2 linked regions of the Schizosaccharomyces pombe genome follow. The protein of the gene in region 2 interacts with the protein of the main gene of each other region in a pairwise test. Each region holds a gene or a part of one and is shown on either strand. Other genes may lie near its edges. The genes, in order: hom2 and gst1.

What was found.
Region 1: the proteins of gst1 (region 2) and hom2 interact in a two-hybrid assay, tested with the Schizosaccharomyces pombe proteins (one large-scale study listed by BioGRID).

Annotation. Positions count from the first base shown.
Region 1 is NC_003421.2:2,377,849-2,394,006, forward strand, and holds hom2 (aspartate semialdehyde dehydrogenase), read right to left. Parts: upstream 9,716-16,158; 5' UTR 9,680-9,715; coding exon 9,643-9,679; intron 9,441-9,642; exon of another isoform or gene 9,339-9,440; coding exon 8,302-9,338; 3' UTR 8,171-8,301; downstream 1-8,170. Other genes in the region: pcy1 (cholinephosphate cytidylyltransferase), read right to left, coding at 1-279; pcs60 (acetyl-CoA ligase), read right to left, coding at 637-2,175; protein Vms1, read left to right, coding at 4,884-6,686; SPOM_SPCC1827.05C (RNA-binding protein NIFK), read right to left, coding at 6,849-7,256, 7,334-7,719, 7,775-7,811; spx2 (SPX/EXS domain-containing protein), read right to left, coding at 10,779-10,937, 11,013-12,104, 12,170-12,442, 12,509-12,858, 12,911-12,915, 12,956-13,085, 13,142-13,167, 13,210-13,223; Ark1/Prk1 family protein kinase Ppk38, read left to right, coding at 14,424-14,547, 14,593-14,723, 14,792-15,239, 15,294-16,158. UniProt on the Schizosaccharomyces pombe protein: Catalyzes the NADPH-dependent formation of L-aspartate 4-semialdehyde (L-ASA) by the reductive dephosphorylation of 4-phospho-L-aspartate.
Region 2 is NC_003421.2:1,711,691-1,727,286, forward strand, and holds gst1 (glutathione S-transferase Gst1), read right to left. Parts: upstream 8,381-15,596; 5' UTR 8,325-8,380; coding exon 7,635-8,324; 3' UTR 7,453-7,634; downstream 1-7,452. Other genes in the region: SPOM_SPCC191.04C (uncharacterized protein), read right to left, coding at 1-134; SPOM_SPCC191.05C (nucleoside 2-deoxyribosyltransferase), read right to left, coding at 629-1,264; SPOM_SPCC191.06 (uncharacterized protein), read left to right, coding at 2,449-2,865; cyc1 (cytochrome c), read left to right, coding at 3,045-3,374; ribosome biogenesis protein Lto1, read left to right, coding at 5,061-5,465; SPOM_SPCC191.10 (uncharacterized protein), read left to right, coding at 10,138-10,587; external invertase, beta-fructofuranosidase Inv1, read left to right, coding at 12,616-14,361. UniProt on the Schizosaccharomyces pombe protein: Involved in the oxidative stress response and detoxification.

The sequences.
Region 1 (16,158 bases), 670 kb from region 2:
GATAGGGTAACTAAAAGGAGTGGACAGCTCTTTAAACCGAACATCACGAGGCTCCTCCTCTACAGGTGAAACTGATTGAGATATCTCTTCCAAAGATTTAGAAGGGCTTTCCTCTTTATCATCTTCCTTCTCATCTTTCTTTTCTTGTTCTTCAGGTTCATCAATCTCGAAATTATACTTCTTCGTCTGTCTTTCTACATTATCTTCTTTTTCAGATGGTTCCACTTCATCTATTCTTCTTTTGTGAGTATCATTTATCTTAATACCTTCTTCTCCCATAATTGTCAATTTCCTTAGGTTGTGTTACGGTTTTGCGAAGTTCCGGTTTGTGGTGCAGTGGACACATACACATTTTAGCTAAATTACAATACATACGATTTTTATGCTGACCATAAAAAAATTGTTGAACGCTACAAAGACTTAAAACTCATTATTATTTTTTCATTTAAATCTACAGCAGTATATAAGATAAGATGGAAATACTTTTCTAATGTGATCTAAAATAGTTTATTCTAAGTATTGAATTCGATACAGTTAATAACAAAATTTCATCGTGTGCTTTATAAACTCGTAACTAAAATAGACAAATTAGCGAGTTTTGGGGTAAAGAAGCAAAATATTGAGTACCAGATACTCTTAGAGTTTGGCCTTGGAGTGATTGAAAAAGGCGTCGCAGACCAAACGACGTTGCACTTTTCCAGTAGCAGTTTTAGGGATACGATCAGTAAAGTAAAACTTTTTAGGGATTTTAAAAGCAGCAACCTTCTGTTCTAAATAGTCATGTAACTGCTTGGGGGTTACTGTTTTTCCAGCAACAGGGTTAATAGCTGCTTGGATGTCTTGTCCGTATTTTTCGTCAGGAACAGCAAAACAAACAGCTTCGGAAACATCAGGATGTTGCATTAAAACAGCGTCAATCTCAGCTGGAGAAATCTTTTCACCACCACGATTAACAAGCTCCTTGATGCGACCAGTAATAAAAACGTAACCGTCTTTATCAAGTTTGCCCTCGTCACCAGTACGGAAAAAACGATCTTTGGTAAAGGATGACTTATTCGCAGCAGGATTGTTCAAATAACCCTTGGTAACGTTGATTCCGCGAACACAAATTTCTCCCTCTTTTCCTTGGGGCATTTCGTTACCTTTCTGGTCCAAAATTTTGAGTTCAACTCCAAAAGGCTTACCAACTGAATGAGGTTTGTGTACCAAAGGAGGTAAGGGATTGGTAGTCATTTGATGAGAAGCTTCGGTCATAGCATATGCCTCAAGGACAGGAGCACGGAAGGTAGCCTCTAGTTTGCTTAAGACTGGTGGTGCCAAGGGAGAAGAGCAAGAACGAATGAAACGAATTCGAGGAAGAGGTTTGGGAGGAGGAGTACGGAGAAGGATTTGATGAATAGTGGGGACCGCAGTATACCAAGTAGCACCATACTGAATAAACTCCTTCCAGAAGCTGTGAGCAGAGAATTTGGGAGGTACAACGGCACATCCACCAGAAGCTAAAGTAGAAAGGAGGCCACAAAGAAGACCGTGAACGTGAAACAAAGGCATGACAACGTAAGAAGTATCTCTTGGATCCAATCTATAAGAGGTAGTAATGTTATGGATGCTACGGCACAAGTTTTTGTGAGTCAAAGGAACGACTTTAGGGCGTCCAGTGGTACCACTAGTATGTAGGACAAGCATAACGTCGTCGGGTTGAGGAAGACCAAGTGGTTGAGGAGCATTAATTTTGGCTCCTTCAAAGTGAACAATGCGAACTAATCGAGACTTGGGACACCAAGCAAGTTCGGCCACTGCGACAGACAATTTCTTAGCAGCACGAACAGCAGGGGTATTTGCGGCAACGGAGCCTTCGGGAACAATGACGAGTTTACTTTTCAGATCATCAATGTAAAACTCAAACTCGGATTGCTTGTAGTTGGAGTTCAGGGGCCCACAAATAGCTCTTTGCCAAGAAACAGCGTAAAAAGCTACGACGAATTCCAAGCCATTGGGAATAGCAATGTTTACAGGGTCTCCAACTTTTATGCCAAGGCTGGCAATTTGGCGCTGAAGATCCATAATAGCAATTCGAAGCTCACTGAATGATAGTTCTGCATTTAAAGAAGGGGCTACCAAGGCTCTCGCACTAGCATCACCTTGAATAGCTGAATATAAAGTAGTAAAAGACATTTTCAAAATTCTAACACCAAAAAAAGTTTATATATGATAAATTAAATAAGTAGTAATTCAAAAGTAAGAATTACAATGTTTAACCTCCTCAAATGCGGATTAAGGAAGCAGCAAAAGGAATGAGTTTACACGGAAAATGAGTTAAAAAATCGGATAGATAGGTAAGACACTAGTAAAGCTAAATACCTAAAAAGTTTTTCAACGCACGAATAATAAAGAGTTTCTTCAAGAAAAAACTACTCAAGTATTGAAAAAAAATCTTTTAGACGAGAAATCTTGAAAACTTCCCTAAATCCTTTGTAATTGGTTTTTACTTGTATATGTTAGTCAAATGTAAAGTGAGTGTTGAATTAAGTGATTAAATCTTTTATTGCTTCATTAAAATAACGTACAATGAACCAACTAAAATATTCTTCTTTTAATGAAGGTAAGTTTTTGTTAAGTTGAAGAAATCAAGAATACAGTACTAGACCCGATTGCAAATTAGATCCCCTAAATTGCGCAACAGATCTAGGCGCGAACGCAATGATTTATCCGGTATTCAAAGGGAGGTGGTAGTAACGAAATTTACGGTAAGAGTATAACAAGAAAAATATGGATTCCTTATTCTGGACTTTTATAGAAATTAGTTAAAAAATATTGATGAATGAAGAATGGCATTTATGGTGGTTGCATCGAATCGAATTCATTACTAATGGAATTGATTTGTCTACATTAGTGATTCTTCCTATCTTTTGCAAATTAAATGAATTCAACGGAAATGACTCAAAGGTATAATACTAAAGCACCTCCAAGAAAAAAAACTAAGTTGGTAGAATTAAATTTCTGTTTTTCTGAATTTCACAAAACTAAGCGTTTCAATTGAGAAAGTTATTCATTATCTCTTTTAATCATTAATTTCGCTATTATGTATAAATTATTCTTCATAAACTTGACTTATATTAGTTTAAATCGATCGCATTTGCATGCTTGCAAATGCTTCGATACTTTCCATTTGTCAATTTTTAAAATTAATGTAAATAGTGCTTTACAGCAGATTGAAAAAATTGCTTGCACTTAATTATCTACTTAATTAAAGGACGCTGGAATATACAGACAGGTCTCTCCGTTCTCAATCTAAAAGGGATTCATCCAGTTTAGTTGTAATGGAATCATTTCAGCATTGTACCAAGTATCAAGTTTTTTACTGGATGAATATAAATATAAATTAATTGAAGTAGTTTTTTTTTTAAATCGAGAGCTATATGTTTGAAATGTGTTAGTGCTTTTGTTAATATTTCCCAAATAGAAACGGTCGAGAAAGAATTATTATTTGACAACGAATCCCTCAAGTAAAGTAAGTATAATAAGGGAATCCTAAATATTGAACTTCCCTGAGTAAAAACCGTTGATGCTGAATCAAAATATTCCTATTTCGGGTTCTTTTAAACTTTTTTTATGGAAAAGGACATGTTCCTTAAATTCGTCGGCTAGGTAAATGTTAAAAAATTTATGCGAGATTACAATGTCAATGTCACTTGATAAAGTAATCCACAGTAAAGTTTACAATGATTAAACAGAACATTGCAAACGATGTTTGAAGTTATAGGGATTTTTACGTTGAAATTAAACGGGTGGTTTGTCGCCTCAAATTCACATGGTCTATCTCTGATACGTCCGATATTGCTACTGATTTTAGGAAATTATACTGGTTTGTTGCATTCATCAACGCCTTGAACACTGAATTAAATCTTCTCTTTTTTTAAACTAATTCGCACTTCATATTTCCCGCTATCTCCCATTGATTCATAAATTAGTAGCGTGAGCATATGCGAAACAATACCTGCAAAATATGTGGATTATATCATCTAAATAATTATTAGTATTCACTGCAAAGATTAAAATTCCTTTTTCTTAAAAAATTTATTATATATACATACGTAAAATTCTTTCCTCAATTTGATGTCTTAAATTTGGTGGTTTGCTTGAAGGCATATTATTCTCAAGATAATAAAATTTTTTTTTTTTTTTTTTTTTTTTTTTTTACAAAAATAATATTAAACAATCATGCTCAGTCAAATTTCAAGTGACGAATTAATTTTTGGTATTTATTTTTTAATACGAAAAGGAATATATACAAATTGCGACTGCATCTAATATAGTTTTGAATTAGCTAAAGCAGTAGCATAATTTTTGCACTATTAATTTAAATAAATATTATTACAATCACCAACATTATACAAATGTTATTTTCGATTTTATATTTACATTCAATTTAAAATTCATAGATTTTTCACTGTTAACGACAGCTTTTTCTCAAATATTAAATTTTGGACTATATTAGTTAAATAATAAACGCAAGTATATACCACTAAGTAAAAAAATTACATAAATTTGATTTTTGATTGACTGTTTGCTCTTACCTAATTAATCCTCTTACCTATATTGTCTACAGCCTTATTTTTTTTTAATTCATTTTTGTGGCCAAAAGGCTTTAAAGTCTTAATTTACATGAAAATAACCTTTTTCTTCTTTTAATTTCAAGAAAAAATTGTAAATTAAAAGCAAACTACCTGCATCTTGTGGTCAAATTACTTAATCCTTATTAAAGTTCGTTTTTGAGTATAAGTACGCTAATTGCTAGATTGAAATTCTACTGAAAATTATTGCATATTTTGTAATGCTTACATTATTTTTAGATCTTGCTAATTACTTGTCTTCTTCGAAACATGGGTGATATTTCGAAGCACAATATTTTTTCCCTTCCTGAGGATATCTTAGCAAAACTAGAACTACGAGAGGAATACTCAGTTGAGGAAAAAACTGATAGTGCTAATTTGTCAAACCAAGGCGATATTGTTGATTCCACTCAGAAAAATATATCATCATGTGTCAATTGCCAGATTGACAATCTGCATACTCTGGACGAAAGAAAAAGTCATATTAAATCTGACTGGCATAGGTTCAATACGAAGCGAAAAATTACAAAATTGCCTCCGGTTTCTCAAGACGAATTTGAAAGCATAATTGAAGATTTACCAGAATCACTGTCTGGCAGTGAAAGCGAGACAAACTCAGAATCCGAAGAAGATAATTTCCAAATAGAGAAGGCTTTTAAACAATCCTTGAACATAGGAAAAGTTGACTCCGCTGACGAAAACAACAATCAGCGAACAAACTCACCATTAACGTGGTTTCAATTGAGTAATGCTTCTGCCGAAGTGCCAACCTATATTGGTGTATATAAACACATGTTTTCCGGTAATAACCATATCACTAAAGATTTACTTGTTCAACAACAAAATCATAACCGACAAAAGCCACTTCAACTAGCTATGTTTATGGTTGGAGGCGGTCATTTTGCTGCTATGATTGCTTCTAATGAGTTTAATCCTCGTGATCCCCATGTACCCAAAGTACTAGCACAGAAAACTATTCACAGATATACAACTAGAAGGAAGCAAGGTGGTTCTCAAGGGGCTGCTGACAATACTAAAGGGAACATTCACTCGGCAGGTAGTGGTTTGCGACGTTATAACGAACAAGCTCTTATTAAAGATATTCAGCAAGTTTTTAAAGACTGGGGAAAATTATTAGAAACATGCGATTTAATCTTTGTACGTGCAATCGGTTCATCTAATCGTTCAATTTTCTTCTCTCAACCAGGTGCTCTTATTTCTCCAAAAGATCCAAAACTCCGCGTATTTCCATTTACTACTAAACGAGCCACACATTCAGAATTACTTCGTTGTTACAAAGAGTTGGTTACTCCGAAAATTAGTCACGTTGATTCAATTTCGATAAAAGCTCAAGAAGAAGAACGAAAGAGACAAGCCGAAATTGAAAAGGAAATTAGACAAAGCAGATTACAAGAGGAAGAGAGGAAAAAGAAAAAGCTTGCTAAATATACCGAAGTAATTATCTCCAATTTGAAAGCGTCTAATATTGAAGCATTTTTGGAATATTTGCGCTCTAATGATTTGTCTATAAATTTTCAATTTTATCCTAAAAATGTTCATTTGCACACATCTACACCGTTGCATTACGCAGTTACCCAAAAAAATGCTAAATTAGTCGCTAAACTTCTCCGTAATGGTGCTGATCCAGCAATGCTAAATGGGAACGGAAAGACACCTTTTGAGATTAGTACTGGAAACAAAGAGGTTAAAGATGAGTTTCTAATTGCAAGGCATGAGTTGGGAGAGTCATTTTTCGACTGGGAAGCAGCTAAAGTTGGGGCTCCTCAGTCTAGAGAACAAATTCAGAAACAACGCCAAAAGGCAAAGACCAAATTAGAAAATCAAAGAAGGGATAAAGAGAGGCAAGAAGAACTTAGACGGAAGGAAGCGATGCAGAAAATTGAAGAACAATCGAAAAGGGATTATGATAAACTGCACGGCGAAGGTCATTCATTAGGAATTAATAATGTTCGAAAAGTTGACGAATTGCAATCATTAAGTCCAGAAATGAGAATGCGAATTGAACGTGAAAAAAGGGCTGCAGCTGCCATGAAAAGAATGCAAACAAAATGAGAAGCATAGTTATTTTAAATTAAAAAATACTTTACTAGAAAAAGACAACAAAAGGAATATTGTAAAAATATTAATCTTAGTATACGTTATTCACAATTCTATTATGCATAATAATAAGATATTCCAAATATTATTGTTATTACTCTAAAACCCCGTATTTATTTATTTGTGAGCAGCCAAAACCTTTTTGTTCTTCTTTTTGCTAGATTTTTTCGAAGCAACTGGACTAGCCGCCTTGGGATGAGATACATCCGATTCCAAAGTAATCCCCAATTCTTTGAGCTTGCGCTTTTTGAGTTTAAGCTTCCGATTATGGCGAGTAATTAACTTATCCGCTTTCTCCTTGCTTAATGGTTTTTCATGCTGAAGACGCGCTATTGTGGCATGAGGGATGCGTTTAAAAGGAACGTCGGCGCCTTTAAACATGTTTTCATGAACCTGGTCTTCAGGAATAACCTTACATTGTAAAAGCTTTCCATATAAAAGATAATTATGCATTGTCTCAGCAACGACATTGGCAACGTCTAACGATTCAAACTCGATGAAAGCATAATGCTTACTACTTCCTGTCTAATGCAAAAAGTTAGCAGTCGAAAATAAAAAGAAGAACTAAAATAGTCCGCTGTAGATAATAAATGTTACCATACCTTTCTATTGCGAGACATGCGAAGACGTAGCACAGGACCAAATTGAGAAAAATACATACGCATCTGTTTCTCATAAAATCCATGAGGAAGTCGGCCAACATACAAAACACCTTTTTTCTTTTGAAGATTCTTATTTTCAGAAACCTTTTTCTTTATGGTTTTCTCAGCATCTTCGCCCAAATCCATAATTTGCCTTGAGGTATTAACTAGCGCATTTGGAGAGTCTTCTTCATCATCATCTGAAGAACCGAAACCAGGAAAAAACTCTTTATCTTGTCCTTCTTCATCAGAGTTATCTACATGACCTTGTAATGATATATGCTCGGCTTTTTCAGCATCTTTGACTTTCTTCTCACGAAGAACCGATTTCGGTTGATTCACCGATTCTAAAATCAATTGAGTTAAAAACCATACAATAGTGATATTATTCCTATCACTTACTTTTCGAAGACTTTATAGGGCTCTTTGCCTTCGACATAATGTTTTATAAAAGTATAGGTATTGAACTGAATTTTTCCAGTGTCAAAAACGGCCAGATGCCTAAATTACAAGTTGTTATACATTTCCTTAAGCTAGACATGGTAGAATTTGAATTTGCGTTAAATATTCAAAAAATTTTTTAATCTACGCTAAATTTTTACAAATTGGTGTTAAAATTCGTTATTCATTTAAAATGGGAAAAAGTAGAAAATGACTTACTTCAAATATTAGAATTATCGATAGTATTATTCAATTACAAGGAATACAAATCTTTTGAAGGCTTCCGTTTTGGTTCGCAAGCACAAGAAACTTGATTAATAGAGGCAGTCCTCTAATTATATCACTGGCAAGGTAAAATAACAGCAAAAATGAAATATATTAACAAAGTTTTTCTTTATTCAAAACCTAATTCCAACTTTTAAGGTATCGAAAAATCCGTGGCAAATTTTGAGAGAGAAGAGTTATAACAAGAACAGGAAATTCGTTGTTTACATAAGTCCCTTCTTCACCGCAACTTCAGCATTCAAAATACCAGCACCAGCAGCACCCAAAACTGTGTTATGGACGAGGGAGACAAATTTAATATCAAAGATGGAATCAGATCTGATACGACCAACTGATACTGCATAACCATTTTCATTGTTACGATCGAGTCTAGGTTGAGGGCGGTCAGGAGTAGAATCATCGAAAACATAAATGGCTTGTTTAGGGGCACTGTAGCAGCCTAACTTTTGAGGTTCAGAAACATAGTTTGCCAATACTTCGCGAACTTGATCAGGAGTAGGAGAGGTCTTGGCAAACTTCACAGAAATACACATCAAATGGCCATCAATAACAGGAACACGATTGCACTGAGCAGAAACAACGTTATCAGTCAACTCATATCCAGAAATTGTGCTATTGACAGAGCCCAAGATTTTACGTGTCTCCCATTCAATTTTTTCTTCTTCACCGCCAATAAATGGAACGATGTTATCCAAAATGTCAAGACTGGAAACACCAGGGTATCCAGCACCAGAAATAGCTTGCATACTAACTACATTTGTTTGAGCGATAGGACCAAAAGCATCTTGTAGAGCTTTCAAAGGTACTACAACAGCAGCAGTAGAACAGTTAGAGTTAGTGATAATGCATCCACGATCCAGTTTGTTTTCTTGACGCTGGTACTTGATAACGTCCAAATGATCTGTGTTGACGGTGGGGACAACAAGTGGCACGGTAGGCTCACGACGATAGTTTTTAGCATTCGAAACGATGACTAAATTAGCATCACGAAAACTTTTTTCAATTTCGCCAGCAAAGTCAGCATCTAAGCCGCTAAACACAATATCGCATTCCGAAAACTCCTTGGGATCACAAGCCTTTACACTCATTTGGGAAATCTCTTTAGGCATTGCAATAGATTGTTTCCATTTAGTAGCAACTGCATATGGTTTTCCCGCAGAACGAGCAGAAGCGCCAAGAACAGCGATCTTAAACTCAGGATGATCGGAAAGGAGGGTAATGAAACGCTGTCCAACGGTGCCTATTTATGGTTAGTCATGTGTATCCAAAAACACTAGTCAGTGACACGGAACTGAAAATTTAATGTTCATCAAAAACTTATAGTACTAAAGACATGGAATTAAAATGATAAAATGTGAGTCTTTCCAGGCAATTTAATTCAAAAAGTGTACAATTAAAATGTAGACCAATTAAACAAGGAACCTAAAAAGTAAACACAAATTATTTTGTAACAGTCAATCCTTTAACTTTATGCATTTTTTAATGTACATAGAGCAATCGTTTGCAGTTTTGACAGAACATTACCATTCTAAATTTAAACATACCTGTTGCACCGAGGATTCCAACTTTTTTTATAGCCATTGTTTTTAATCAAGAAAACGAAGGTTACGTGTTCTTGGTAAATTCCTTCATTGACAAGCAATTTAAAAAAAAATATCTTATATCGTATCGCATCAGATCTTTTCTAATCGAGATAGTGAAGTCTAAAGTATTTCCGCGTACCGTAAAATAGTGAATTCTTTAAACAAATTGCCAAAACAAGCAGCATCCGTTTTGTACCAAAGTAAGGCAGATGAAGTAAACAATTAGTTGTAAAATACAAGTTCTAAAATAAGCTTTCTTTTATCTAATCTATAAGAGTAATGTAAAGGAACAGTTAATCTGGGACTTGATCAGATGTAGTCATTTTACGTCCATTATAACTTGGAAGTAAATTTAGTAGTGTCAAGCAAATATAGAAAGGATGGATGTAGTCTCATTGATTCTTTTGCAATTTAGATTTAGTACTGAGAATGATGAAAGACAATTTAATAAACAATGGATAATACTTTTATATGACCGGTCTTTTCTGTTTTGATAATGAAAAATTAGCTCGTAAGTATACTTGGCTATTATTATTGCAACAATTTTTTTACGAGTAGCTATGAGATGTATTTGAGATTAGTTAAAGGACTTTAAGTATTCCGGTCATTGGTTGATACATCAAGACATTAATGATCAATCCGATTCTCTGTCTCCAGACACGCATTGAATCAATCTATTTCACCGCACATTCTGTTCCTGACTGAGTAAATTAACTGACTTCTTTGATCATCGCTTAAAATTTACAGCACACTTAAAAGGATTCATTCATTTTGTGAAAGATAAATATCATTATTATAATTTTACTCATTAAATCATTAAGCTTCATTCATCACATTTGTTCGTAAACACTAAAGTCCCCCTTCTCATATCCATATGTCATAATAAAATTAAAATGAGGTTCGTAGAAACTTCTGAGAAATATCTTCGCATTTGTCAGAAGAAAACAGCGATACCATACTCCAAATGAGGAATACTTTTAATGCATAAAAACACAATAAAACAGCATTAATATCATCGGAGCAAACACCCAATACCGATAAGAATAATAAAAAAAATACAACTAAAGAAAAAAATAACTTGTACTTTCACGTTCTATCTAAGAAAACTGAGCTTCATCCACATCTGTTTGATCATCCATCGAATCTTCATCATCTGTATAATTCTTATCAGAAGATATTTGATGAGAAACGAAGACATCACTATGTGGCTTAACAAAATCCAAAGGCTTAAGTTCTCTAGCGGCCCGCAAATTTTCCTATAATGAAATTAGTATGCGACGATTTGAATCAAATAAAAATAAATAAAAGTAAACACAAACCAGCGAACTTACCCTATTATAGATTTCTTCGTGCTCCACACGAAGGATGTTCCACATACAACGCCGCATGATCTCAGCAAGGGTCACAAAAAAACTAATCCCTGAAGAGTGCTGAATGTGGTTGGGAAATATGCAATAGAATATAAAAGAGCTTCTAACGATAAAATTTAAGATCATAGCTATAATATACGGCCACAACTGTTTTAGAATTCGATGCTCACGGAATTGCCAACGACCATCCTTTCGAACCAAAAGGTTCCAATCCATCAAAATATCCCACGTATAAGAAAAAAGTGAATTTACGCCAGCAAAAATAGTATACAAAACCCGATATTTCAAGCCGGGATGAATCCTCCACAGACTTAAAAACATTTGGGCGAGGATATTAAAAATATATTTTAGAGCATTCACAAGATGTGGAAAGCTTTTCAACGAATCTGAATATCTTCGGAAACATTGAAAAACACGTAAGATGCCAGGCAATGTGGTAAAGAAACCTAGCAAGGGAGAATGTGATGAGTTACAAAGCTGTGGTTGTCGCCAAAGTCGCTTATAAAGGCAAAAGAACAAAGATATATTACCGCATGCATAAGTTAGACTAACCATTTGATCAGCAAAAAAGAAATCCTGAAAATGGACAGTAGAAAGCCCAGATAAAAACACACGGATAAGCTGAATTATCAAGTATCTTCGCATTCTCCAATAGGGAACAATGACGGGGGCTATTAAAAACGTGCCCACTACTCCCAAAAACAGGGCCGGAAAATATATTGTGAAGCCAGGAAAGAAATTTCTCATACACAGGAAAAAGAACAGCGAAAAAATAAAGAAGACTGCTCCTACGATCTCCAAATGCTGACGCCAGTTTAAAGATTTTCTTTGATTAAATTCGAAAATAAGCATGTAGTTAACCCGTGTCTTCTCCCACACGTAACAGTCTAAATCAAACAGTACGAACGCAAAAATTACTAAAAAAAAACCTCCCCATATCTGAAGAAGGTAGGAGGATTGCTCAGTAGCATTATAATAGCAAGCAGCCTCTATAGCCAACGGTAAACCTGCACCAAACAAGAGTCCAAATCGCATCGAGTTTGCAGAAAAGTGCTAAATAACCCAAGTTAGTAATTAGAGTATAACGTAAAGTCCAGATGCAACTGAATTATACTTACCTCTTTTTGACGAAATGACTTAAGATGCTCTAAAGCAAGCTTCTTGTTATGATTGGTAAAAAGACGAGCATATATGTCTTCAACATGCAATTGCCAATTTGTAGTGATGCTGAAATCTGTGAACGTATATCTGCTCATATAATCAACCCAAAAGCCCTGAAGATCTGTATGTAATGTTTTATCATACTTTTTGACAATCTTTCGAAAGGCTTGTTGATTAAGATGCTGGTACTGAGAAACCAATTTGAGATAATCATAAAAGTCCAGCAATGTCTAGTTGAAACAATTAGCAAATTTACAAACATCTATACTATGAAGGAAAAAAGCACTGAGGCATACCGTTTTCAATTTAGATTTCAGTTTGCGATAACTGACCATCGGAGTATAAGCATCAGTTGGGACACTCTTCCTAGCTGGGATATGATAAGCAGGTTGAAGTCGAGAAAAATTGAGGATTGAATCAAGCCTTTGTCTGAGTTTAGAGTGCTGTTTCTGTATTAATACAACAGATCCCGATTCAAGGGTCCCCTTTTTGAATGCACGAAGCTTTTCATATATATCGACCTGATCGCTAATAAGATCCATTCTTTCTCGCGCATCAGACACCAAATTTTCAAAAAATTCTTCCACCTTGTTTGCTTGTTGGTCAAGAAACTCTTGAAAAAGGGGATGAAACCGATGAATTTGCCCTAGGTCAAAAGCAGTTAGAAATGCATTTTTTAGAGATGTCAAAAAACGTACCTCGTCTGTTTTATTAGTCAATAGTGCAAATTAAATAAAACTTACTTTACAATGGCTTCTTCAGGTGTTTCTCCCAAAATCCCTGAAGTACCATACAGACCCTCAGAAGGATTCTTTGCAATGCCTGCGATTATTTTTTTCCCCTTTTTGTAGTCAAAATAAGCAGAAGCCCATTCTACTCGAATTAGCATATCCGAACGTCAATTATTTTTCAACTACAAACTAGCATACCTGCAACAGATTGTCCTTCGATAACCCTGTACAGTTAGTAAGCTTCAGAACTTTCAAAAAATCCTTACTTTCCGAATTTCATGTTCAAATAATTTTTAAAATTAATTACATAAAAGAAAGAATATATGTATATATATATATATTGACTTAGGAAACTCTTTTTTGCAAAAATTAAAAGGCAATATCCTTCAAACGACTTTAAAGCATTCAAAATTCTTGATATCGAAATATATATCAAAATTAAGAAATTTAAAGCATGTATAAAATTTAGGAATGTTTTCTGGTTACTTTGCTTTAGATAGAATGTTGGTTCTAGTTGCCCTTATTAAGATAAGTACACCAAGTGGTATCTGCAAAAAAGGTAAATTTAGTGGTTCCAAGGGATTTATATTTTCATTTAACAATGTTTAAGTATCGTGAATTCTCGGTTTAATTCTTGTGATCTCGTGGTTAATATTAAGAGGCAATTGTTAATGGATGCCACAAAAAAAGTTAAGTAGGGCCATTATTGGGGAAAATGCGCTTTAACATATGTATTGTAATTATTTCACTTTTTTTTGTTTATTTTTCCTCAAACTTTAGAAAAATCACGATTAACTGATCGATGCGATCTAATTATGCTAATTATGATATAAGCGATAGCGAGTTGGAGGTCTGTCTTACTTTACTTCAATTCATAAGATTAATTGTTTAAAAGTAGATAATCTAATGGTAGTATCTTCTGTTCCAATCCTCACAATGGATGATAGCTGTGTTTATTGGAGTTAGTCGTCAATGCATTTGAAGGACAGGAATTTTGCTAATGTAATGAACTACTAGATTTTTAAGTTAACATTTGACGGAGTTCGTCTATTTAAATTTTCCTTTAGCTATCATAGTGGTCCGTAATGCAGCCTTTTATAAGTCTTTCTGCAGTCCCTGAAGCAACAAATTACTCCATCATGTATTCACTATTAGAAGAGAGAACTAAGAAACTTAAATGAAAACATAACTATAATTTTTAACTTAAATAATGCTTGTCTAGTCTTGTCTTCCATAGTATTTATTTTTTGAACTCAGCTTCATCTGTCAATAATGCAATCGAACTCGCTTGGATGCATTTCTTTTTCTATCATATGAAGGCTATCGAATGTATCAATTTATACAAAGGAATAATTCAGTAAAGGCCAATAATTGAATATCACCTGTTTCACTTATATATTATATATCCTAACCCACGTTCCGCTCCTAAACCACCAAATTTACATTGAGTAAATCTGGTTGCAGCAGACTTTCTTTTGCAATGAATGAAACAAACAACACTTCATTGCTTCCAGTATCTTCTTTACCTTCAGGTCTTCTGCCTGTTGGTTTTAGTTGTACGGTGGAAAAGTTTTCGGTTACAGTAAAACGATACCTTGCTGAAGGTATGTAAAATCATCAGCTTCCAAATGTTAACAGCGTATCTTTAGGCGGCTTCTCTCATGTATATTTGGTACAATTGGTCTTCCCAGGAAAGCCACCGTTTGAGGCAGTTTTGAAACGTATCTTTGCAACGGATGCTATGGCCCTTCGAGCTGTGCACGAAGAAGTACGGACTATGGTATGTCCTTCTATCCTGTATTTTGTTGCTCTCCAATTTTTTACTATAAACTAACGACTTGTCTTTAGAAACTTGTTAGCAACCAAAAACGGTGTGTCTCATATTATGGCTCGGAATTTTTTAGGACATCAAAAAATCAATTCGAGGTCCTTGTACTATTGGAGTATTGCCCTTGTGGAGGCTTGATTGACTTTCTGAACACTAGACTTCAAGTTCGTTTATCAGAACAAGAAATTTTGAAAATAGCTTCTGATGTTACTGAAGCGGTTGCAGTAATGCATTACTTGAAGCCTCCGTTAATTCATAGAGATCTCAAGATTGAAAACGTGTTACTAGCTGCCCCAAATTCGTACAAGCTGTGTGATTTTGGTAGTGCATGTCACCCAATACCGGGTGCTAAAACGGCCGCTGAGGCCAAACAGCTAGAATATGATATCGAAAAATTTACTACTTGGCAATATAGATGCCCTGAAATGATTAATGTCCATAAAGGATTTGGGATAGACGAGAAAAGTGGTATGGTTTCTTTGTAACGTTATTAGAATATATTTCGTTAACACTAGCTTTTAGATATCTGGGCGCTAGGGGTTTTGTTCTATAAACTATGCTATTACACAACTCCGTTTGAACATCAAGGGCTTGCTGCTATTATGAATGTTAGTTACGCTTTTCCAACCTTTCCACCTTATTCAGATCGGTTAAAGCGACTAATTTCAACCTTATTGCAGCAATATCCTTGGCAACGTCCTAATATCTACCAAACCTTTTGTGAGATTTGTAAGATGCGTAATGTTCCTATACATATCTACGACATATACAACGGTAAAAATGTATCCAGCTGCAATCCTTCTGGTTCCGAATATCTGCAACATGCTTCCAAGTTAGAAAACAGTGGAATTCACCAGAGTAAATCATCCGTGTTCCCTCAGCCTGCTTCTGCTATGAAGCCAATGGCTTCTCCGATGTTACCCAATGTAAACTCGATGCCTTATCTTTCTAACGGAGATCATAATAATAATGGAAACACTTCTTCTCCTGTCTCAAGGTTTTCGTACGGTCAACATACTTCAAATGTACCTTCTACTCAAAAATTACCTAGCAACTTCCGAGTTACCCAAGGTGCACCACCTAGTCATACTTATGGACCACCTCCACCCGTCCAGCCAAAACCTAAAATATCTCCTACGACTCCTCGTTTAAGCACATTAGCTCTGGCTGACGATATGTTTTCATCTACGGCTAAAGAAACTGTTCCTACAAACGAAGCTGTCTTTACTGGTGATGTTAAATCTTTTGATAGTCAAGAATCAAATATTATAGAAAGTGAACCTCTTTCAGCTAGTAATGCTTCGGGAAAGCCAAGGACTAGTGTTAACCGTTTGGTTGATAGGTACAACCATACATCAAGTTTAAACAAGGTAGCTGCTGCTCCCGC
Region 2 (15,596 bases):
GATGCGACAAACGGGAACACAAAAGAAAGGAAGTCAGGAATATGAAAGTAGGAATGGAAAAGTGGAAACGGAGGATGCTTGGCTTGGATTACTCTATGAGAACATGATAAGAATATGCTGCAAACGGAATGCATTTGAAAATGATATGTTGCTTATAATGAAAACTATATAGCGTAGATGGGGTATTTGTACAAACTTTACAAAATAGACATGATAGTTAAGAATAGATTATTTGTGTGGTTGAATTTTTTTTTTTTAAATGAACTCGTGTTTTCATTCTCTACGGATCTAATAGCGTATATGGTATTGTAGGACATTGGCTCAATAAGCGTGATAATTTAGTAGACGTCGCAATTCCTGGCAAAAACATTGATTCAATAAAGCTCCTATCATTCATTTCTCTAACTTTTCTCGTCTTTTCACTACTGTCGTTTTCTTTTCTATCACCTATCGATTAGAAGTGGTTAGAACGGCCAAAGCTTGTTTTCGGCGAATAAATTATTGTTTGCATGAGAATCGCGCAACATTTCTTAGTCAAGCATGGTCTTTTACAACATAAATATTTCGACATATATAGCATTTCTTCCCACCGCATGACCGACAGCTAGTGTTGACTGCTCATGGTCGGCTAATGCTGACTGTTCAATCTGGCAGCTAGATCCTTAATGGCAGTTCGAAAGGCTTCTTGAATGCTAAAATCGACGGCGACAAAACCTCCTGACATTCTGATAAATCCCTCAGTCATCACGTTTTGCAAGAATCCCTCAGAGTGTACGATCAAGCCGTCTGCATCTTCCATGCTACCACTACCGCCTTTGGTGAATCGAGGCTTCAAAGCGTCGCCCCATGCCTGTTTTCGGTACGACCTGACTTTTTCTGGATACATACGGCCATCGGTCGTGAAGCCGGCCAACGGTTTTCCTTGAGCGGCCATGTACCCAAGCTCCACTGCCGTGCCTGGATCCATGTCTGGGGCACGTCGAAATGGATCAAGGCAGAAAATCCCTCCATCGCAACGATCCATCAATTTCCGATCGAGTTCCGCAATCTTCAAACTCGTTTCCGCTCCAGGAGCCATCTCCTCCACACCTTCTTGGCCATCAAACGGTGCAACTCCTTGCACCCCTGCGTCCTTGCAGATTTCCTTGAGTTCATCAAACAGCTCAATGGCATTAGGCCTAAACACGAGGTCTCCTGCCAAGTACACACAGGGCACCTTGTGAGGTTGCGCTTTAGGGATACTGACCTTTGCCGTACCAGTCATTTTGCCAATATTCGTAGAACGAGTATACGAAAAAAAAAAAAAAAAAACAAAAAAAAGTATGACTATTCGAAAAATATCCTAAGCGTCGTTTTGTACGTTTCTAGAAATCAACGCTTGTAAACACAAAGACAAGATTTTAAAAGTAACCCTTGTGTAAAATATCAAGAAATACAAAGATATTACTTCTCAATATACGAATATATGGTAGTAAATTGTATTAAATTTCAATGTTGATACCAAAAACAAGGAAAAAGATTGCAATTTTCCTACGAATGTTATCTAACAAAGGGTGTTTGTTTTAAAATGATTTCATCTCTACTATTCTTATACTCAAACATTCTCGTTGTCTAGTTTATCAAGATAAGGCATTTTTCATCGGTCTGTCATATTTTTATACACCTTCCTTCCCTATCTATCCATTCCATCAGCCTTTGCTCCTATCTGGTAACAATAAGCTCAGACAATCTTTTTTATATCTGTATTTAGGGAAACATCTAAACTACCACGAATTTCCCAATTTACCGAAAGAAAAAAGAAATCGAAAAAATCAGGTAATGTAGGAAATGCTAGTTGGTTGGTAGTGAGTGTGTGTGTGTGTGTATCAGGTTTAGAGCAGCGGCTTGAAGCACTAGGCTGGGAAAGCGTTTCGTTTTATTTATTTTTACTTTTTTTGTTCGATTCTATTGGATTTATCTGAAATTTGTTTTTCAATGGGAAAGTCTTTTGTGATGGATTAAAATCTTTTTGGAGAAAATCACATTTTGCAGAAAAAAATTTCTAGATCCCATTCATTTTGTTGTGGTTGTATAAAAGACGAAACATATGAATGAACTATATTTACTAGATAAATGGGATTCTCATACTTTGATCTTACCAATTATTTTCTACTTTGTTTCATTGTCACACAGTGTCTGTCTATTACTATATGATTTAAGAAATCGTCGCTTAATAATGACAACACATAGACTAAACAAAACGATGTTCAGGTAAGTTCCTGTTTACTATTTCCATAATCCTATTTAATTGTTTTCTTTAAAATGTCACACTAACCTTGTATTCGCAGGATTAAGTAAAGTGCGATCAAATGCTTCTTTGAATTTTTCAACTACCAAAAAATATGCGCAGAACAAAGTGTACACACCAAAAGGTATTTACTAGAGTGTAATATCCAATGGTGTATTCCCATGTCTCATCTATTCATTCTCTCTTGCTCTGTCTACGATTTTTCATCTATCCTATTGCATCAATATTTCACCCAATTTTTCGTACTACGCTATGCATCCCCATCAATGCATCTTGACTGGCGATTTCCGTCTCTAAGAATCCATTCATATCCCAAAGACCAATCCACACATGCTTGGAAGATGCATTGCATGCCTACGGAAATCATTGCATATCAGCCAATTCCAGTTTTCCAACGATTACTGCACTCTAACGATATCTATTTTCCTTATTTTCAGACACGGTATACAACCTTAATTATGTTTAATACGGTCTGCTCGTCATCACCAAATCCTGTTTTTACTTTAACGAAGGTTATCGCACGCAAAAAAGGTAAACATTGGATTGGCTCGCCATGTCATTCCGCGGAGAGCTCATGAACCAATGAAATAAGGGCGAAAAAATAAATTTAAAGGTCGACTTCCACCGCATCCCAACTTACTCTCAACGTACATCTTCTCACTAACTTCGCTGTGAATTTGTGGTTTTTAAATCTTCTTCTCTACAAATACTAAACTCTTAAGCCTATTTCCTTTCCTTAGCAATTTATTAATTCAAAATGCCTTACGCTCCTGGAGACGAAAAGAAGGGTGCTTCCCTGTTCAAGACTCGTTGCGCTCAATGTCATACCGTTGAAAAAGGCGGCGCCAACAAGGTCGGTCCCAATTTGCACGGTGTATTTGGCCGTAAGACCGGTCAAGCTGAGGGTTTCTCTTACACCGAAGCCAATCGCGATAAGGGTATTACTTGGGATGAAGAAACTCTTTTCGCCTACCTCGAAAACCCCAAGAAGTATATCCCCGGTACTAAGATGGCCTTTGCTGGCTTCAAGAAACCGGCTGATCGTAACAACGTCATTACGTATTTGAAGAAGGCCACCTCTGAGTAAATGGGGTGATGGCCGTCAACGACAGTTGCAAGTGTTGGCGTAATGCCGTTGGGATATGCTTTATGAATTCGTAATTCCCAATTTGCTTTTGTGTCTGTCACGTTACTGATTGATTGATTGCGTTTACCAAAAAAAAATAAAACAACATGGAAACGAGCAGCATAGGAACATGAATTGTTTGATATAAATTCTTACTTTGGAATTGGTCTCCTTCTTTTCATTTATTCCTTTTCTATTCTCTTTTTCTATTAGACAACCTTTTTCAAAAAAAAAAAAAATTCCGCAATTCCTATACCGTGAACCAGTTTTTTTATTCGGAGTTCCCAAAAGCTTATTTCCTGGGCCCACCGGGTTCTTCCCCATCAACTCCCCTCTGCTTTTTGAATTTTTAGCTTCCTGCATATTTTGGTGTATCTTGGTCAATTCATTTGAGCAAGATTCAGTTTCGAATTGATTTTCATTGATGCCTATGCTTTCTGATGCTTTGCTTTTCTTTACTTAAGGTTTTTTGAGCTGATTGGTTTTCAGTGAGTTTGGGTTTGTTTGTTTTTCACCTTTCTCTACTCTATCGTATTCCCATTCACAACCATACTCCCCTCTCTTTTGTGGTCGATCAATTCCCATCCAGATCGTACACACAAACCAAAATTAATCATAGCTCTCTTTTTTAGCTAATTCTATGTTGTTTTTACAACTATGGATCTTTTATGATATTCAAGTTTTCATACCTTTCACCCTTTTCTTTTTTTTTTAATTAGTTTCAGTATATTGCAATTGACGGCTGCAGAGCCCTCTGAGATTGCTCTCCGGTAGTTCAATATTCAACGCGCATGCATAAGGTTTTAGTGTAAAGAATTGAGGACAGTCAAGTGTTGTGTATATTTGAAAATTAATTAATCTTTGTATGTAACTAGACTGTGCGTTTAAAAGTAGCAAGGAAACACTGCAGTTATTCGCAATGTAAACACTTGCCAATTGAAACTTATGTGATATACTTTACTAGCTCCTGTACTTGAAACAAAATATTAGACTTAGATTTAAAAAAAGAAAAAAAGTATGTTCTATATGAATTATCGACTGCTATAGGCAAAGTAAATGAGATTTACACTAGAGATGTCAATGCTGCGATTTTGAAATTAAAGAAATATCGGATATCAAACGAATACCATAAATTCATTTAGGGCGATATAATTCTTCTTTGTTATTCGTTTTTATATGTAAGCTACGCAGTTTGGTATCTGATTTAAGGATACGTAGAACTGCGGTGAGTTTTCCTTGTGATCTATTATATTACAATACACAGGTTGTATAAGTAGCAACTGAGTATAGGTATTGTATTAACTGGGTTATAATGTTACCTATCACTAATATAGCTCATAACTGAACTGAGGAACGAGGTTCAGCAGTAGCTCTATTTATAGTATTCAGATAATATTGATCTTAATAGATTATCATTAAGATCAATCTCCATATCGTATCATACATGGTACGATATATAATTAGAACATGTGACATATAGTGATACTCAACGTAGTGTATTATAGCGTAGTGTAGTATTGCTGACATTATACTGCAGGAACTATATATCACTGTGTTGTGCTGTATCTAATAAGGTTAGCCGCTAATCCTCTGTAAGTTGCAAATTCTCAGTTTTTGGCAAAAATTATTACAAAACGACACTGCCGCATGGACTGGGAGGAAGTGACCAAATTGGAAGAAAATGAGTACAAACGTGGTTATGATGAAGGAATTTTAAAGGGAATTGAGCAAGGGTATGAGGAAGCATTTTTGTTTGGACTCGAGCATGCTTATAACAAATATTTACTGGCGGGTGAAATTTATGGACGCGTGTGTTTTTGGTTGAAAGAAGAAAATTCACAACATCCTAAAATTAAAAAGGCACATAGGCATTTAGAACAGTTGAAATCGTTATTAGAGTCGTTGCCCACCAACAATGAACTGGAGGAGACCGATGCTGGGTTTGACTCTTACTGGAACAAAATTACAGCCAAAGCCAAAGTGGTATCGAGTCTTTTAGGAACTAAGATTCTTCCCGCTGAAAAAATTGATGCTAATGATGGCTTTGAGTAATGTCTTCAGAGCAAATATACTATGGAAGGTATTTAATATTCCTGAAAACATTCACTTTACATGATTGATTATGTTATATTTTAGCAGATTATATCTGATATCCTGGCATTTGTTCTTTTTCTTGACAATATCTCCCTTCGAAAGAAAGCTGCATGTAGTGAGTGAATAGTCGTTTTTTTTTTTGGCTAATTCATTCTGAATGGAATCAATTTCTTCATCCGTTATGGTTAGAAACGTTTTGGAAGCTAAATAAAACATTTTGTACATTAAGATGGAAATTAAAACCGCAAGATCTTTTTTCTTGTCAGCCAAGTTTTTCCAGTTAATGAGTACTAGCATCTGTCTCTTTTAACTCTAGTAGGTGTGTTTGACTGGATGGCATCCCCATAATATTGCTTTGTTCTTATGGCAATTTGATGATTTCATTAATGTTCGTAGAAAATAAAAGAAAAGGATCAAATATTAAACATCCGCTTTATGATTGCCATATGCGTTCATGAATTAGCACATTAGCTGCTGCTGTGTATATGATAATCCTATGTATAGACATTTCCCCGGCATAATTACTTGCTTGTCCAGTTTAATAAGTTTGTTGTACATTAGAACAAAAGTTTATAGACACAAAATAAAGACATCGTAACAAGTTAAACATCATTACAATTCCCCAGTTTACCATACAATTAATGATTTAAAAAATAAAAATAATAAATATTCATCGACTATATAGATACCAGGATAGCAATAAATAAAAAATTTTGTATGTGAAATGTGCAACTTTCTAAAAATGTATTATAAGCCTTGATTTTCGTTCACTAAAGATTTCGCGAAACAAAGCAAAAATAATCGTTACCGGCATTTGCCAATTTTGTAGGCCTATTTTTGACTTTTCTAACTGGTAAATTGCAGCTAGATAAGCTTCGATAAGGCCAAGGACAATGGCTATCAAATGTTGTTTCATCGTTTTATTCATTTCAGTTAACAGCAACCGTTACTACAATTCAAGTTTAAGAGATATCCATACTAAGAAGTTGTTTTTTTTAAGGTAGTTTTAATTAAAGGAAGTCCTAACAAAAAACGAAATAAAAAACAACGTTTATTTACGATTTAATAAAAACTGGTTGTTAAATAGTTTGCGACACCAAAATGGAAAGCAGTATTGTTATGTGACTGTGTTTTTTAGGCATTGTAACTCGCTAATTTGTTTAGTGCAATACGTTCATGTTCATTATACGCTATTGTTTTCATAAATAGGTATCATCTGTTTTTTAATAGTTTTTTTTTTTTGCTTGTTTCCTTGTTTAATATTTTGCTCTAATACTTTAAAATTGAAACTATCATGTACAAAATACAGGCGGCCTAGTTTGCTTTGTTACTAATTATCATATTCTTGAGCTTTATAAGAACACTCTTGAATTAAGCAAATTGGATAATTTAATATACAGCGACTGCTTATATTGATTTTCTCTTTGTTTTTTATATTAGGACCTTTCTAAATTCGATAATGAATCACTTCTTCATACCCTACATTATATTTGTGTTCATGAGTATTTGAATTCATCTTATTTACAATATTCAGAATAATTAAAATAAAAAATATAAGACAAGCCTGCCCAACATATAAAGAAAACAATATTTGATTATTATTTATTCGAGCTTTTGTTTTAGACATAATATTTATAATTTACTTAAAAATTTAATAAAATCATTGAACTTTTCTCAATAAATTGACGACATTATTTAAAAAAAAAAAATAAAAAAGGTCTTGTAGTATAAGAAAAATAAAAAGATAGTAACAATAAAAAAATAAAATAAAATTAGCGCCTCAAGTCATTTCGACATGATTACAGCTATCCCTTCTTTCATTTTATATTTTTTACTTTTGATGATTGGCTTTTCCAAACAATAAATACCAATTTTAGCAAGAGCAATACGATGGATGTTACATGGTCTGCTTTGTATATATTTTCGGAATGTATAGTAGAAAATCATAGTTTAAAGATGATATTATTGAAAGAGCACTTGAACAATTGATGTATGAAACGAAAAAGTTGAGTCTATATCTATATGCATAAAGGAAAGTAAACAATGCATGAATTTTGAAATATAAAGAATCAATCAATCAATTGAAATATTGGAACGTTATTATCAAGATAGACGCCACAAATTCACTTAATTATCCAAAGCCTTTGATCTTTCTTCGAAGGTAGCCTTGCTAGCAGGTCTGGCAAGAAGTCTTTGATGCCAGGAATAAGTTCTAGGAAACTCTTTTTCAAAGTCGAGCTGAGGCACTTCTTCCTCGATTGAAAACTTTCCTTCTGCAAAAATAATTTCAAGGAAGTTATTCCATGAAATGAATGATAAGTCAGCAATTGTGAACCGGTTGGCCACGAGATAATCACGGTCTTTAAGGATATCTTCGAGGACTCCTAGAACACGTTTGATTTCATTCCTATAACGGGTAATGGCAGATATGACTAGCTCCTGATGATAGACGCTAAACCATCCAGCCTGTCCCCAAATGATGCCTTGGCCAGAAGCTTGAAAAAATAAATATTGTATAACTTTGTAGTATTCAGGATGGTCACGAGGCAAAGATATCTTCCTTTCCGTATCATATTTGTCAGCTAAATAGATTAAAATGGCATCAGATTCCCAAATGGTATAATCGTTATTGTGGTGATCAATCAAGGTAGGTACTCTACCGTTAGGGTTTAAGGCTAAGTGTTCGGGGGATTTCTGCTCATTTTTTGAAAAATTCACATATCTGGTTTCATAGGTAAGGTCCAACTCCTTCAGCGCTTGAACCACCTTCCATGGATTAGGACCATGAGCATGCGACCATAAAGTGAATTGAGCCATGATACTTTATTTTGAGTGTGTTCTATTGTTAAATGAAAGGAGTTTGGCAATGGATTAAAATATAAAGAGCATCTTTACCATTTTATATACAATTCTTACTTCCATTGCGTATGCAATATTTATGAAAAATTTTGGAAAACACCCGAAATCGAGTTGATCAATTTCATCCAACTTACTAATCGATCATACATTAGACTCATACGTGGATTCAACTAAATTTTACTCGATTAGCTGACGACAAGCCGGAAGTTATGATTTATGTCAAAACGTGATCAAAGAAAGATAAATCTACTACCGATTCCATTTACTAATACATTTGAATCCTGTTAGCCGGTTACACGCTACATTTAATCAATCTTGTAATGCATCAAAATTTCATGTAAAATTTCTACCAACATATAGTGCGTGGGGACTGACTTCTCGTTTTGTTTAACTATGTATAATCCTTGTGGGAAATAAACGTATGCTTAGTGTTATATTTAATTTCTTAAAGGGTCGGCTTAATGCAATTCCAAATTCAAATGCAATTAAAACTGTTTCAGGTTCTTAAGACATGTAGTTTTCAGAATTTACGAGTCAGTTGAATAGACATCTTATGATAAAGTTAATATAAAAATAATAAAATAGTCTCAACCATACGCTCGAGATTTATTTTGTTCACCACCTGTTCAAAAACCAACGTGTCAAACTTGCTTTTAGACTACTGCACATATTAATTCAAACATGCTAGGGATTCACAATTGGATTTTCAACTGTAAAGATTAGTTATGACGGAGTTTTGTTTCTCACATATCAATTTAAAATTCTCTTCACTCTAATAATCTTATTTCGAAATCTACTTTATTTTTCATCATACAGTGAGTGTAATATGTTTAATTTCTGTAAGCGAATTGGTAATGATTCCCTATGAAAATTTTTTGTTTACATTTACTACCTTGACAATACGATACGTAAATTTTAAAGCTATTCAACATAACTGCAAACACGATGAGTAATTTTGCATTATAATCAGAAAAAGAGCAATGGAAACCAAAAAGCATACACCAACTTGATCAGAGTAAAGCAAGTACATGAACCAATACATGTTTATATCCGTTAAATACTATTTTTTTTCTTTTTAAAAGTATATAAAAATAACCTTTTTTGGATTATTCAATAAACGTCCAGCTTTTACGTCTTTCATTAATTGATTGAACTTTTAAAGTCGAAACCCGATAAATACAATCATGTCTAATAACGTTTATTCATCAAAAACTTTTATTCATTCAACAAGCTCAAAGCTCCATGTCCTTCAATTGACTATTCAATGTGATACATTGCAGCTTTTCCCATATTCTTACAACCCATCGGCTTAGTTTCAACGCATTTATCCAGGATCCTAGTCCGCGAAATCGAGATGCTTTGAAGATTAAAATTAAATTTAATTTTATGCGAGACTGGTTTCCTTATTTTTTGTATAGTCGCATGCAAGCGAGGTTCGCATAATTTGGAAAATAAAGGTAGTCAAGAAGACGTTGAATTAAGGCTGCAGTTTCAAAGTACTCTACAAACGATTCCTTTTAAAAAAAAAGATTCAAAAAAAAAGGCAAAGGGTTTAAGTAATGCTTGTTATTTCAATTTACCTCCAAACAGTTACTAATGCAATTGCAAAAAAAAAAACCTACCTATTGAATCAAAATTTCTAGCCCATCCATCGCTCCTCAAGATAAAGGAATCGATATTTTGAGTTTAAGGGAGTTGCTGATAGATTTCAGAATTAAAAATTTTTGGAAAAGGATGTCGAGAACAAGAAGATACGTCTAGATTGCTGATGATGCATTCTAGCAGACGGAAATACAACGATATGTGGACAGCACGACTTTTGATCCGTTCGGATCAAAAGGAAGAGAAATATCCATCTTTCAAGAAGAATGCAGGAAAAGCAATAAATGCCCATTTGATTCCTAAATTATCCCCAAAAATGAACATTATGAGATCTTCTTGTGGGAGACAGGAAATTTCGCAATTCCAAACGAAAATTCGGCTCTTTTTTTTACCCCACAGTTGCGGGGTAAATGATGTAACGGACCTTGGGGGAAAGGATGATGAGTTAGTTGGGAAGCGGAAAAAATGGAAAACGGAAGTAAGAATAGAAACCAGTATGGCTGAGTGCAATGGCGGAAAAGATTTTACAGAGATGACAAGAATCTATTTATCTATAAGGAAAAACTTTTTCCAAATTTGTCTAAAAACGCATTCTCCTCAATTGCCTCTAGGTAGATGATATAACGAATTGGAACGAGACATCGCTAACCGGTTTTCTTTGTAAATGACATTTTGTAGTGGGAGTAAGTTTGAATGGAGGGATAGACAGATGAATAGTATGAGATAGAAGAATAGTATATATAATGATTAAGATGAACAAATAAAAATTGAAAGAAAAAAGAAATTGTTGGCTCATTTGGTTCATACACATGTTGGTTCATACAACTTTTACCCATCGTAAGTATTATAAGTAAAAAATAGAGTACGAAAAGCTATAAGTAGTGAAGCAAAAAAATAGAAAAATAGAAAAAAAAATATATATAAAAAAATATAATAAAAATAAAACTCATAAGAGACGTAAAACACAAGAATTGTCTATCATTTGTTCTTTAAGAAGCACCACCATTCTGTAAAACTCTTCATTTCTCATTAGCAAGGACCCTTTTCATTCCTTCCTCTTTAGAATCCTTTTCATTATAACGAATTGGATAATACGCAAATAAGAACACATCCCCTAAATACGATATATCGATCCATTTTTTACTTTGCCTAGCTTATTGCTGTACAATTCCATTTAAATAGTTTCTCCTGTTAAACAGATTGAGTTTCATTGTTCTACTTTTACTTTCTCTTTTATTGGTTTTGACTGACGTCCCAAAACCTCGATTACTTTCATATCTGTCGGCATCATTCTCCTCAAGAAAGATCGTCAATGGAGGCGACAATATACCGGAATTTAAGTTGCGGACACAGAGCTTGAAAAGACTGCATTTTGTATTGTTTTCAAGTAAATGAAACTGAGTTTTGAAGTCTCAAAATACATCTTATGTATTGAACATTAGAAGAACATATAAGATAGATCTTGAGAGCTCAATTCATCGACATTCTAGCCATCATACTGCGATCTTAGACATTGTCAGCACAACCTTAGATCGAAAATGAACACGTTACCAAACGTTGTCTAAAACTTGCCGAATCTTATCTCCGCATTACTTCCGTAATCCTTAGTACATACGCTGCAATTTCGGAAGGTCATGATCGACTTTTTGTGTAGCTATAAGTGACGCAAATGAGAAACATGACAAGGTGCGATATTTAGCAAGATATTATGCATTTGATGGAGAAAGGAAATTTCGGATGTATATATAGTACCGTTAGCTGCGCTTTTTTTGGTCATCCATAATTTTCAAACTCACTGCTTTCGATCAGATTTACCGTTTTTAAGGTCTTTATTGCTTTGTGATCTGTAGGTTGGAACATCTATAGTTCATTTTCTAAAAGATCCTTTCATCGTTTCATCGGATAGTAATCGTTCAAGAAAAAAAAAGAAAAAAAGAAAAAGAAAAAGAAAAGAAAAATAAACCGCTATAATTCATTACCTATTTGACTGAAGGTTCTTCATCTTGAATTGTTTTGAATCAAAATAAAGAAATTATTATTATTATTTTTTTTCTTCGCTTTTTCTTTATCCATTCGTCGAAACTATTTTTCTGCTGATAAAAGCAATCATTCCTTTTTCCTGCTTCTCTTGTTATTCGAATTTTAAACGACTTTTTTTCCTCGTCCATTCCCTAATTCTTTGCGACCTTTTCTGATTCTATCCTTGGTTTGTACTTTCGTTGTGTAATTGTTGAGAAAGTGAACTGATTATTTAATTGTTGTGAAAAAAATTCTAAAACTATTTTGTTTTTCTTGATCATTCATCCTTTGCTCGCTTGCTTGAATATTACAGAAATTCGTCTCCCTTTCAACGGAATATGATAATTTGTTGAATACTCTAAATCAATTAACACCTATCAAAAGCTGAAACATTAAATCTATTCTCACCAAAAAAAAAGACTCAAGCTTCTTCGTTGTTGGCCGGTCTCTTTTTTGTTTTACGATTGTTAAATTTTATACTCACAACTGCCAATTCTCCACTTTTGACTATTTATTGATAGTCCCTATTTAATTTTCTGTTCACCGATTATCGTCTTTTTTGTAAATAATCTTTCTTGGAACCAACCAATTAATACGTTATAATCGCTAACTTTGAAGATTTGCTACAATGTTTTTGAAATATATTTTAGCTAGTGGCATTTGCCTCGTCTCTCTCTTATCATCTACAAACGCGGCTCCCCGTCACTTATATGTAAAACGTTATCCTGTCATTTATAATGCTTCCAACATCACTGAAGTCAGCAATTCTACCACCGTTCCTCCTCCTCCATTCGTAAATACAACGGCCCCTAATGGGACTTGTTTGGGTAACTATAACGAGTATCTTCCTTCAGGATATTACAATGCTACCGATCGTCCCAAAATTCATTTTACTCCTTCTTCCGGTTTCATGAATGATCCAAACGGATTGGTATATACTGGCGGCGTCTATCACATGTTCTTCCAATATTCACCAAAAACTCTAACAGCCGGCGAAGTTCATTGGGGTCACACAGTTTCCAAGGATTTAATCCATTGGGAGAATTATCCTATTGCCATCTACCCCGATGAACATGAAAACGGAGTTTTGTCCCTCCCATTTAGTGGCAGTGCAGTCGTCGATGTTCATAATTCTTCCGGTCTCTTTTCCAACGACACCATTCCGGAAGAGCGCATTGTTTTAATTTATACCGATCATTGGACTGGTGTTGCTGAGCGTCAGGCTATTGCGTATACCACTGATGGTGGATATACTTTCAAAAAATATTCAGGAAATCCCGTTCTTGACATTAATTCACTTCAATTCCGCGACCCCAAGGTAATATGGGATTTCGATGCTAATCGTTGGGTGATGATTGTAGCTATGTCTCAAAATTATGGAATTGCCTTTTATTCCTCCTATGACTTGATTCACTGGACCGAGTTATCTGTTTTCTCCACTTCTGGTTATTTGGGGTTGCAATATGAATGCCCTGGAATGGCTCGTGTGCCCGTTGAAGGCACCGATGAATACAAATGGGTACTCTTCATCTCCATCAATCCTGGCGCTCCATTGGGAGGATCCGTTGTCCAATACTTTGTTGGCGATTGGAATGGTACAAACTTCGTCCCCGATGATGGCCAAACTAGATTCGTAGACTTGGGTAAGGACTTTTACGCCAGCGCTTTGTATCACTCGTCTTCCGCCAATGCCGATGTTATTGGAGTTGGATGGGCTAGCAACTGGCAATACACCAACCAAGCTCCTACTCAAGTTTTCCGCAGTGCTATGACAGTTGCACGAAAATTCACTCTTCGCGACGTTCCTCAGAACCCCATGACCAACCTTACTTCTCTCATTCAAACCCCATTGAATGTTTCTCTCTTACGAGATGAAACACTATTTACCGCACCCGTTATCAATAGTTCAAGTAGTCTTTCGGGCTCTCCGATTACTCTTCCAAGCAATACCGCATTCGAGTTCAATGTCACACTCAGTATCAATTACACAGAAGGCTGCACAACAGGATATTGTCTGGGGCGTATTATCATTGATTCTGATGATCCATACAGATTACAATCCATCTCCGTGGACGTTGATTTTGCAGCTAGCACTTTAGTCATTAATCGTGCCAAAGCTCAGATGGGATGGTTTAATTCACTTTTCACGCCTTCTTTTGCCAACGATATTTACATTTATGGAAACGTAACTTTGTATGGTATTGTTGACAATGGATTGCTTGAACTGTATGTCAATAATGGCGAAAAAACTTACACTAATGACTTTTTCTTCCTTCAAGGAGCAACACCTGGACAGATCAGCTTCGCTGCTTTCCAAGGCGTTTCTTTCAATAATGTTACCGTTACGCCATTAAAGACTATCTGGAATTGCTAAATATTTTGTTTCAAGTTAGGAAAGTATAATAACTTTTGTCCCTGCATATTCAATTGTAAAGTTTAGTTTATCCTTTCATCGTAACCACAATTGTCACCTAAATCTCTAAAAATCTCTTCACTTATCTAGTTAATGTCGTAACAAAAAAGTCCAGTAGCTTCGGGAAATGATGCTTGGAATCATACAAGTCGACGTGGGTTTTCCCTTCAACAATGTACAGCTCTTTTGGCTCGGAAGCGACAGCATATGCTTCCTTTGAAAAATACAGAGTGTCAGCCTTCTCACCAGCTATGTACAACAAAGGCCTAGGAGCCATTTGTTTAAGAACATCCGTGGCTCCATAAAAGCCAGCCAATAACTCCATGCTCCACGGCTGGAAAATACCGGTGGATCGAGGATGGGAACCACGCGGTGTACAATAATAGTCATAGGCTTCTTTGAATAATAATGGGGTGGCATCAGACAATTGCTCTCTTTGGGGGAATAAATTGAACAAGTCATATGACTCACCCTTACAAATTTGGTTCGCGAGGCAGCGGCACCTTCTAATGCAGAAGATAATTGTTCGGTTGTTTGCATAGGTTTTCCATCAGCATTTCTAATACCTTCACGTATGACGCTACCAAAATCTGCAGCAGAGACAGTAGCAACCGATTTAATACGTTTATCCGTTGAAGCTGCGATGGGAACATACATTCCTGAAGCACAGATTCCCACCGCTCCGATACGACTCGGATCTACTTTGTCTTCTAGGATGGACAGGTAAGTGACAGCAGCTTTGACATCCTCGATACGTTGAGATGGATCCTCAATTCCTCTAGGTTCACCACCAGACTCACCTTGATAAGCCGCGTCAAACACTAAAGCCATAAATCCATTTTCAGCAAGAAACTTAGCATGAAAACTGGCCGTTTGTTCTTTGACGCCACCGCCTGGATAACCGACAACCACAGCAGCCTTTGTGCTAGCAACTTTACTTTCAGAAACTGGCTAATATAGGATGCCAGAAATAGGGATACCCCTTGAAGAAAATGTGACTTTCGTAGACTTGATTCCTGCTGACATTGTACTCGAGTTGGATAACGTTAGATTTTGAAGTTGAAAGGGGAAGTTAGTAATGTACCAGTAACGATAATGATAAATTCAAAGCCATTAACACTTAACATTACACAATAAAATAATAATCGAATAAAACCATGCTGTTCTTCAATCAAATTCACATTGTAATACGATAT